Macaca fascicularis: one gene and its partner. The protein of the gene in region 1 interacts with the protein of each later gene in a pairwise test. Links are inferred from orthologs where the notes say so. Each region holds a gene or a part of one and is shown in the gene's direction. Other genes may lie near its edges.

Region 1 (4,836 bases):
TATTTTAGGAGTTATCTGTCGTTTATGAAAATTGTTTTCAATCATGCAACTGTTGCAGTAAGTTATATGAATCAGTGGATGACAAGACTGTCTTAAATGGCTTATCATATGTAGCATTTAACATACGTATTTAATGTAATCTGTTTGATAAATTTTTCTTACCTCTTTGATTGTTGATGTGGAATGTGAGAATGCTTCTAATAATGGTGAAGCGAGATGGATGGCTTTTCTTTCATACACGTGGAAATTTAATTGTTTGGAGAATATTAGAGGACATTGGAGGAGAAATAGCTCTATTCGTTCCTTTTAGTGTACGCAGATTAAGTCATATATCAGGTTTTTTTTAAGCTTTCACTTTAAGTTTGGGGGTACATGTGCAGGTGTGTTATATAGATAAATTGCATGTCACAGGGTTTTGGTATACAGATTATTTTGTCACCCAGGTTATAAGCATAGTACCTGATGGGTGGTTTTTGATCCTCACCCTCCTCCTACCCTCCACTCTCAAGTAGGCCCAGTTGTCTGTTGGTCCCTTCTTCCTGTCCATATGTACTCAGAGTTTTTAATAAGAGTTTTTCATGTTCTTAATTTAGCTATTCTATTGTCACAGCTTTCTGATTTTGTTTTATTTGAAGTACAAGAGAAAATTGAATTCTCTAAAATCATTTTCTATTATTATTCCAGTAATAAACTGTGTAGTACAAAAGTAAGGACAACTTTTCTATCTAGTGAGAAACATGTAATTGGATCCAAAAACTCATAAACTTTATATTGCTGTGTGAAATATTAGTTGCACTGTTATAGGGACCATATTTTCAAAAAAGTTTGAGAAAATTTCTGTAAAGATGATGGAGACAATACTCTTACTTTTGAAAAGCTCAATTCAGTTTTCAGCTCTTCGATAGCGATGATTCATACAAGCAGTATATTTGGAAAGCTTTGCTCTGCTTGGTGACAAAAAGTGCCGGTTTTGTGAGCTGCCTAATACATTGGGCGTTATAGATGGAGACTGTATGTAAAAAATATTTGCATTATGGTACAAATCTTTTATGATTGCTGAAAACTGTTTTTAGCAATTGATGGTAGGTCTCTGATGTGAAATCATGTTTAGGAAAGCATTCCTTGCAGTATTACAGTTTTCTGAAACACAGCACTATGGGCACAAATGTCATATAAAAAGCTGCAAGAAAATATTTTAAAAGTGTTTTTGAGTGTATTTCTTTACCTAAACCTAAATTTTCATACTCATGGCCATGGCTTCTTTTATTAAAATACAGTTAATAGCATCAATCACTAGATTGCTTAAAAATGCTTTTCTTACTGTGTATTAACTTATTTCTACCCTTTGGATGGTTTTACTATATGATACTTTTTTGTGTGCTTTACATAATGAGTTGTGCAGTACTTCATGGAAACATCTCCTTTGAATTGTAGGACATTTTGTAAATGTAGAAATTAAAGTCTGTGCTTATAACCCTTTCTGCACATTTAAAAAATAGAAACTTTTAATTATTTGCTTTTTTTCATCATCCGTCAATTAAGTGATTTTCAGCTATACAAATTGGAATTGAAATACGAATATTAATACCTGAAATGTTTTACAGAAAATAAGTGAGTAAATCTTGCTTTTTGAAATGATTTTTGAATTTTATATTTTAAATATCCTTCTTGTATTGCTGAACCATAATGTCCCATATTGATGTCAGTATATGCAAATAAACTACTTTTCAACATTAACTTTTAATCCATTTTCATTTACTAACTGACATTAAAGAGGATCTTACTGCAAAAAGAAAAAAGATGAAAATGGATAAAGCTTGCAGCAAAACAAAGAACAAAAGTAAAAATGCTTTGAGAAAAAAACAACTTAAAAGGTATGACTGTTGGCTTTCTCGCGTAATGATATTTATATCATTTCTTTGTATTCGTTGGTGCAAATAATTTCAAAAACTACCCTGTACATATTGGCGTCTCTAGTGAACAACATATTTTACTTGATTGTTCTCTAAGCAGGTAAGTTTCTTTAGTTTTATAACCTCAGTTTAACAGAATCAAGAGATATTACCTAGAAGTCAATGAAGATGACCTCTTTTTGCCTTCCAGATAAAAATAGTCTTCCTGTAAAATTAATGTTTATCCATTTCTAGAAATATGGTAGCTGCATATAAGATAAATGTTCTCAATGTTTAGTCTGTAGATCCTTAACGATACTCAATTATGTAGAAAGGGATAACCTTATGTTGTAAATAAGTTATCTATTTTAGTTAAATTGTTTTCACTATTTCTTTTACAAAACCATTGGTGTGCCAAAGTGGAGAAATAGTTAAGTGAAGCATTTCTTCTGGGAAATCTTACGGGATGAATGGCTATGATATTCTTGAACCTACTTATGAGAACCCATATGTTATTCAGTAAAAGGAAATGAAAAGTAAACTGCTCTTAGAGAAAATGAATGTTTCTGGGAAACTTATAGTGCAGTAAACCCTCCTTTGTCTTCAGCAGGTAAAGAATATAAGATAGCTGCTCTAGTAGTCAGGAAGGAAGGAATCCTTTCAGAATGAGAGCAACTCATTTCACCTTTTTCCAAAAAGAAGATTTCAGCTACTATTACTCCCTTGCTACTTTATAGGATAAATTATGTCAAGTCAGTTTGGGTTTGAATAGGATTAATTTTTCATCTCTCTATGAAGTTTGACCGTGTTACTTATTATGTATTACAGGCAGAAACGTGATTATATACATTCTCTGAAGTTGCTGAATGTCCTTGAAGAATACATCACAGATGAGCAGAAAGAAGAAGAAGAAGAAGAGGGAGAAGAAGAAGAACTAATTGTTGGTATCAGGCTTAGCTTTATGTTTAACCTGTTGTATCAATGTCTCAGGGAGTAATTGTTCATGCAGAAATTCAGCAAAGAAGGAAGAGTGCATGAGCCCAGAGAGGGGGCCCGTTAGTGGACTCATGTACCAGGGGAATATAATTGCCATGCAGCATTAGGGGTCCAACTGAAGTCAGCATCATAACGATGAAGAAATTGAAGTGAGCCCAGTTGGAGTATTTGTGTAAGAGCAGCTGTAGGGTTGGAATTTCCTGGGTTGGGGTCTAGCCGAGCAGATTGACAGAGGGAGAGTTGGGCAGGGAATAGATGCAGGGATGAGGATAGATGACTGGCTGTGGAATTTCAGCTGGGACTGAGTTACCCGAGCACATGGGGTGGGCAATGGGCAGTAAACAGTGCTCCATTCAGTGGGTGTCAGGTCTCGACAGACTCCTGAGCTATAGTACTGAAGTGAGTGACCTACAATGGCAGGGAGGTAGTGGCTGTATGTTGGGAAGATGGAGAAACAGCTGACTACAGTGGTTCAAGGGCTGGGACTATGCAGCCACACTGCTTGGGATCCAACTCCAGCTTGACTGTTGCTAGCTCAGAAACCACGGAAAAATTATTTATCTCTGTGCTAGCTCGGAAACCGTGGAAAAATTATTTATCTCAGCTTGACCATTGCTAGCTCAGAAACCACGGGCAAATTATCTACGAAAGGAGACATGGTAAGAGTACCTACGTCAGAGTTGTTGGAGGATCAAAAGGTTTCTATGTAACAGGTTTATTTAAGTTTTTCAGGATGTGATCTGACCCATGGTTGCTCCTTATCATTGCTATTATTAATATTACATAGGTGTTGCAGTCATTGGGAATGACAAAATCTAGGGGATGACTGTGTGAGTGAGTGCCACGTAGAGGAGAGGAGAACACTGTTGTTGGAGATTAAATCAAGGTGCAGAAAGGCCATCATTATTGGGTGGTTCATCTATGTGCCTATTGAAATGACCAAGATTTAATACATGCTTAAAATCCTAGAAAGAATGTGTCTTAGTTAATTTCTGTATAGATCTTACCTATCTGTGGTCAACAAATTGTAGGAAGGTTCATCAAATATTCTTCATTGGAAATCGAGAAATTAGGACATACGTGTTGAATATGTGAAAGTAAGAAAATTATTTACTTAATGACTGATGAAAAAGGTTAATACATCATTTTTAGCATGTGATTGGCGAACACGATCGTTTAAAATTGGTCCTAAATGTTGTCTAAAAGAAAGTGTTCAGAAGTATTGATTTAAAGAGTATTCCTTTAAAGCTAATGGAGAATTGTGTTTTGTAAGTATTAAAATTTACCCAATTTTTATCACTATTTTGTTGTGGGATTCTAGAAAATATTTCAAGAACAACAGAAGAGGTGGCAGCAATATAGAAGTGTTAGGAGAGAGAGGCTGAAAGAGATGAAGCTGCTACGTGACCAATTCTTAAAGGTCTGTTCTATTTGGTAACATAATACATTATAAAATACACCACGTGCATAATGGAAGAAAGTCTGCTTGTTTCTGAATGTATGGAAAGACATTTTGGTTATACATTTTAAATTACTTACCATTTTCACTTTGAATGTATTGTTCCAGATATAATAGTATTGGTAAATGTATTTTTAGGATTCATGAATAGTTTGTAGGAGTTATTTAGAACAGGAAAAGGTAAAGTGGAAATTTTACCTAGAAATATACATCTTATGTATAAAATTGACACTTTATTAACACATTAACTTATTTATGCCAGAGGTTGCAAATTGTTTTTGTGTATGAAAAATCAGACCTTGGCAATGACCTTGAGCAGTAGGATATACATGATTCCCACAAGGTTAGCGTTCCTATATGGAACACTAGGCATAAATGGGTTTTAATGAAGATACTATTTTCAGTTTTCAGAACATCAATGACAGATCTATGGTGGAAGGCAGGAAGTCCTTAAATCCTTTCTGGATATCTTTTTTACTTGTGTTGTTT
Region 2 (5,537 bases), on another chromosome or scaffold:
TTAATTAATTATTTAATTTTTTTTTGAGATGGAGTCCCATTCTGTTGCCCAGGCTAGAGTACAATGGCGCAATCTTGGCTCACTGCAACCTCTACTTCCAGGGTTCAAGTGATTCTCCTGCCTCAGCCTCCTGAGTAGCTGGGGTTACAGGTGCGTTTCACCCTTTCACCATGCCTGGCTAATTTTTGTATTTTTAGTGGAGATAGGGTTTCACCATGTTGGCCAGTCTGCTCTCGAACTCCTGACCTCAAGTGATCTGCCCACCTTGATTTCCCAAAGTGCTAGGATTACAGGCATAAGCCACCATGCCCAGCCCCTTTTCATTCTTTAAGAAACAAATATTTAGAAAACTCCAGACAATTTCTTGAGTGTGGCACTGAGGAAAATAGGAACAAACAGAGAGAGAGAGAACAGAAACTATGTGAGAGAAATAAAATTGTCCCCTGGGTAGTGCAGGTGAGAACAAAAATCTTGACTTGAGAGTGTCATTACCCACTGGCGGAAATCATATCCTCCATTTCTCTCTTACCTGCCCTACTAAATACCAACTAGGACTGAATGTACCTGGTTCATAGTAGTTACCTCATGCATATTAATTTTCGTCCTTTTCTTTTTCCACCAAAATTTGATTGATGATTGATTGATTATGTCCAAGTCTTCTGATCCACCAAAATTTAAACCATGGAGTGACTTTCATATAAACAGATCTGCTGCCAGTTGACTGTCTGGTTGTGGAATACTTAAATACTTCATGTGGGGCTGTCACTACTTGATAATGAGTGAGTCTTTCATGTCTGTGAAAAGTTCCACAAACATTCACTTTAGGAATGAATGGGAGAATTCTAAGCATGAAGATAGTGAGTCAAGAGCTTAGAGTTTGCAGCCAGATGAGGTTTGGTTGAATTTTATTTTATTTTATTTTATTTTTTTAAGACAGAGTATAGCTCTGTTCCCTAAGCTGGAATGCAGTGGCATAATCATGGTTCACTGCAGCCTCAAACTCCTGGGCTAAAGCCATACTCCTGGCTCAGCCTCCCAAGTAGCTGGGACTGCAGGCATACATCATCATGCCTGGCTAATTTTTAAAATTTTTTTGTAGAGATAGGGTCTCAATATCTGGCCAGGGCTGGTCTCAAACTCCTAGTCTCAAGGAATCCACACACCTCAGCCTCATGAGCAGCTGAGACTGTATGTATGTGACCCTACACTCAGCTATGGGCTGAATTTTAGAGATAATGATGACTCTCTTTATAATTAGAAGCAATCTATGCAGATTGGGTAGCATATAGAACGAGTTTAATTTTTTGCTGTCATGTGAGATCTGTAAGGGTTTTTGGGGAATTTTAGGAAGCAGTCCTCTAAGATCTCAAATTATCTCATAGCTAAATGTTGATTACAGTGACTGATGAGCTGCTTTCCCCCTTTATCTCAGATTCATTTCAGTTCTCTTTAGTGGGAAGGGATACAATTCATTTATTCTTTTCAGAGTCCCTTCATGCCCTTAATTTCATAACCCTCTGAGAAGGGCTGACTTGTTAGTATCATTTCATTTCACAGCTGAGAAAACTGAGCTCTGAAGAGATTTGCTGAGAGCAGAGCTCTTCTTCAGCTTTCATTTGTTGAGTGAATGCTTTTCCTGTGACAGGCACTGGGGATAAACGGTGTAAATATTTCAGGGAACTAAGTATCGGTTGGTTGAATGAGCTGAACTTTTGAGAAAGAAACTGCATTGAGCATTCAGCAGAGTTTCACAATGCCTTAGAGTCCAATAATGTGAAAATCAGAATTCGTAATGTGAGAATAGGATGTAATGCACGAAGTCTCAGCTGGGGGTCTGCATCTGGTTTCAGTTCCAGGTCCAGGTAGCACCTTTGCAATTGACCACTTCTTCCCCTCTCCACCTGTAAGGCTAATGGCCTCGGGTCTCGTGATGTTTAGGGCTCAGATGGACACTGAGATGGCCTCTTTAATCAGCCAACCTCTCAGGCCAACCTCTTCCCTTTCTTTTCTGGTAATTACTGTATTGACCTCAAAGCCTCACCTGGCATAGGAAAGATAAACCGTCTCCTTGGTGCCAGGATTTCTGGTCTCTGGCTAAGCTTCCTGCTTATGCAATAGTAGCTGGGAGAGGCCAAAAGAATTCTGGTTGGGCCACACCCACTGGTGAAAGAATAAATAGTGAGGTTTGGCATTGGCCATCAGAGTCACTCCTGCCTTCACCATGAAGTCCAGTGGCCTCTTCCCCTTCATGATGCTTCTTGCCCTGGGAACCCTGGCACTTTGGGCTGTGGAAGGCTCTGGAAAGTGTAAGTTGGGAGTCATTCTGGTCTAATCTGGGCTGCAGGGTCAGAGGTGCGGTCTCCTGGTGATGTGGGTGTGTCCCCTTCTGTAGGCTCTGATCTCTCAGCTTAGTTTCAGGAGACCTCCCTGAGAGTGGAATACATGTCTGGCTGAGCTCCAAGGTTTCTGTGAGGGTTTCTGAGCTTCTGGAAATGCTTTTTCTATGCAACCATGCTGTCGGCCCAGATCCCACTCTCTCTCTCTCTCTGTCTCTCTCTCTCTTATCCTCTGCCTTCTTCACCTGTCTGTGACTCTCAAATCATTAGTTTCTGACTCTGCTTCTTCTTTGTGTCTTCGCTTCTGCTATTTTGTCTCTGTGTTTCTGCCTTGGGCTTTAGCTCTCAACTTCTCTCACACTGGTTCTATTTATCTTTGTTTATCTGTCTCCATCTCCATCACTCCCAGCCTTCCTCTCTGCCTTTGTGTAGCCCTGTTTTGCTCTGGGGTGGGAGGTCTTGACTAGAAGCCTGCTGCCCTTTTCTTGGGTCTGAAACATCCCCTGTCCATTTGTCCAATTTAATCAAGCCCATCAATCCACCCGGAGATCAGGCAGGCATGACCCTTTGGGCTTTGTGGATAGCTCCTGAGGTAAGGGTCTCTCCCCCTCAAAAGTGGTGCTTTGTTCAGCAGGCATGATGACTTCTCAGTGCCCAGCCTACTCCTGACCTCTTGACTTTCTCTTCAAAAGCCTTCAAAGCCGGAGTCTGTCCTCCTAAGAAATCTGCCCAGTGCCTTAGATATGAGAAACCTCAGTGCCAGAGTGACTGGCAGTGTCTAGGGAAGAAGAGATGTTGTCCTGACATTTGTGGCATCAAATGCCTGGATCCTGTTGACACCCCAAGCCCAAGTAAGCAGATCGGGGAACTGGGTAGAGAGGAGTGAGCCTGAGGACACAGCATTAGGGGGATGGCACTGGGTGATGGGTCCTGCCAGGCCTCCTTGTCAATCAGTCAATGAGTCACATGCCCTAAGCAGGAAGGTAGCCAGCAGGTGGTGAAGCAGCGGGCATTTAGATAGTCAGGTAGTTGGAAGCCTCCCACCTAGTCAGCACTGGACGACTGGCCCCCTGCATCAACGGGGGCCTGATGTTCTAGGACAGCCAGGTGCTATGTTTGGGGGGTGACTTACGGAGAAAGTGGTGGTGATAGAGATCGGGGGGGATGATCCGACCTGCTCAGGTTGCAGCAGGGGCTCACTCTAAAAAGTGGAGATAGGAGGGGTTGTGTAAAGTACAAGGCCTCTGACTGGTAGCCTCACTCTCACCCAGCGAGGAGGAAGCCTGGGCATTGTCCACCAGCTTATGGCCAATGTATGATGCTTAAACCCCCCAATTACTGTGAGATGGATGGCCAGTGCGAGCGTGACTTGAAGTGCTGCATGGGCATATGTGGGAAATCCTGCGTTTCCCCTGTGAAAGGTAAGCAGGGGCCGAGGGCACACTGAGCTCCCTCCATCTCAGCCTCAACCCTCTGGAGGCCCAGGCATATGGGCTGGGGGACTCTTGACCCCTATTCCAAGCAGAGCCTCTGTCTGACTCCCTTGTCCTTCAAGAGAACTGTTCTCTAGGTCTCAGGGCCAGGATTTCCATAGGATCACCTGTGGCTTTGATTCTATTCTAGTGTCTCTGGGTGGGGGTCCTGGGCAAGTGACTTTCTGAGTCTCAGTTTCTTTATCGGTAAAATGGACATAATGAGATTGAAAGTGCTCTGCAAAGCACTATGTGCACTAAGAATTTATTATTCAGGTTGTTTCCGTCATGTTTTCTGAGGTTAAATCCCAAACGATCCGTGGAGTTTGAGGATTATCTAATTCAATGCTTTCAATTTAGAGTTTTACGGTGAAAATGAGACTTGTCTCCTGACACTAAGTCTCTCTCAACTATAGCACTATCTTGCTATTTTCTTTATCTCAGGAGGATCCTTGGGCAGAAGGAAGGATGTGAATATGATTTGGCTGATTTCTATGCTGAAGCTCTTATCTGATTTTCTCTCACAGCTTGATTCCTGTGATTTGGAGGAGGCTCTGGAGTCCTGCTCTGTGTGGTCCAGGTCCTTTCCACCCCCAGACTTGGCTCCACCACCGATATCCTCCTTTGGGGAAAGGCTTGGCACACAGCAGGATTTCAGGAAGTGCCAGTTGATCAATGAATAAATAAATGAGCCTATTTCTCTTTGTACCCTGCTTCTGTGATTCATTGGGGTTATGAGTGGGGTGGGAGGCTATGAGGGAAGATCTAGCTATGAGGCCTTCCTCCTATGGGTATATAGTGGGAGGAAGAGGCATAGGGACTGGGGGGACTTGAATTTATATCATGAGTCTATAAGTACTGGCTCTGTGATTTTGGACAAGTGATTTTTATCTCCTAAATTTCAATTCTTTTGTCTGTGAAGTGGCAATAAAAGTCAACTTCTCACAGCATTTGGAACATTGGAGGAAGCATTGTGTGTGTAATAAATAGCAATGTTACTAGGCCACAGCAAGTTCTCAAAAAATAGGGGCTACTTGTGGCCTACTGGAGTGATTTTGAGTCTCTTTAATTTCCTCTCTCTCCCACGACACTATTTCTTCTATTTTACGATGAGAACGTTACCATAATGGGTAGCATTTATGGCACACTATTGGCCATACCATGCAAGGGTGGTGGTGTCCTTGACTCCACGGAGCAGGAGTAACAGGAACTGGGACTGCTAAGAGCTAAGGAGCAGGCAAAGGGCCTTGCTCCACATTGCTCTGCTTTGTGGATTCCAGAGGAAAGAGACAACTTGATTAGATAAGATTTTAAAAAATATTGTAATTCAATCCTTCCCTGGAAAAAGTCAGCAAACTAAAAATTCTTCCTTACTACTTTCAAACAATGCTCTAAGAGCAGCAAGGGAATATATTAAATTAACAATTCAATGAAGAGGAAAAAGAGGGAGAACCATTTTATTTATTTGATGAGTGTGGCAGTCACCCTTCACGTTGGCCCCCAGTGATCTCACCTGTTGGTATTCACACCTTTGTGTAGCCCCCTCCTGCATTTTTCCACAGTTAGTTTGTGTGACTAATAAAACATTACAAAAGTGAGAGATAGTTATGTCCTCACGAAATTAGATGATAAATGTTTGCAGCTTCCATTGTGGAGGCATTCTCTCTCTCCTCAATCACTTACTCTGAGGGCATTCTTTTGGCAGGTCATGAGGAAACTCAGGCCATCT

Evidence for each region. The genes of interacting proteins can lie anywhere in the genome.
Region 2: the proteins of FAM9B (region 1) and SLPI interact in binary tests that used the Homo sapiens proteins (3 or more experiments, as listed by UniProt). The two-hybrid records come from large-scale screens. The link is inferred for Macaca fascicularis from reciprocal best matches to the Homo sapiens genes FAM9B and SLPI.

Annotation. Positions count from the first base shown.
Region 1 is NC_088395.1:8,681,625-8,686,460, reverse strand, and holds part of FAM9B (protein FAM9B), read left to right. Parts: intron 1-1,774; coding exon 1,775-1,874; intron 1,875-2,720; coding exon 2,721-2,832; intron 2,833-4,209; coding exon 4,210-4,308; intron 4,309-4,836. UniProt on the Homo sapiens protein: May play a role in meiosis.
Region 2 is NC_088384.1:101,336,559-101,342,095, reverse strand, and holds SLPI (antileukoproteinase), read left to right. Parts: upstream 1-2,200; 5' UTR 2,201-2,221; coding exon 2,222-2,306; intron 2,307-3,028; coding exon 3,029-3,187; intron 3,188-3,607; coding exon 3,608-3,757; intron 3,758-4,335; coding exon 4,336-4,340; 3' UTR 4,341-4,516; downstream 4,517-5,537.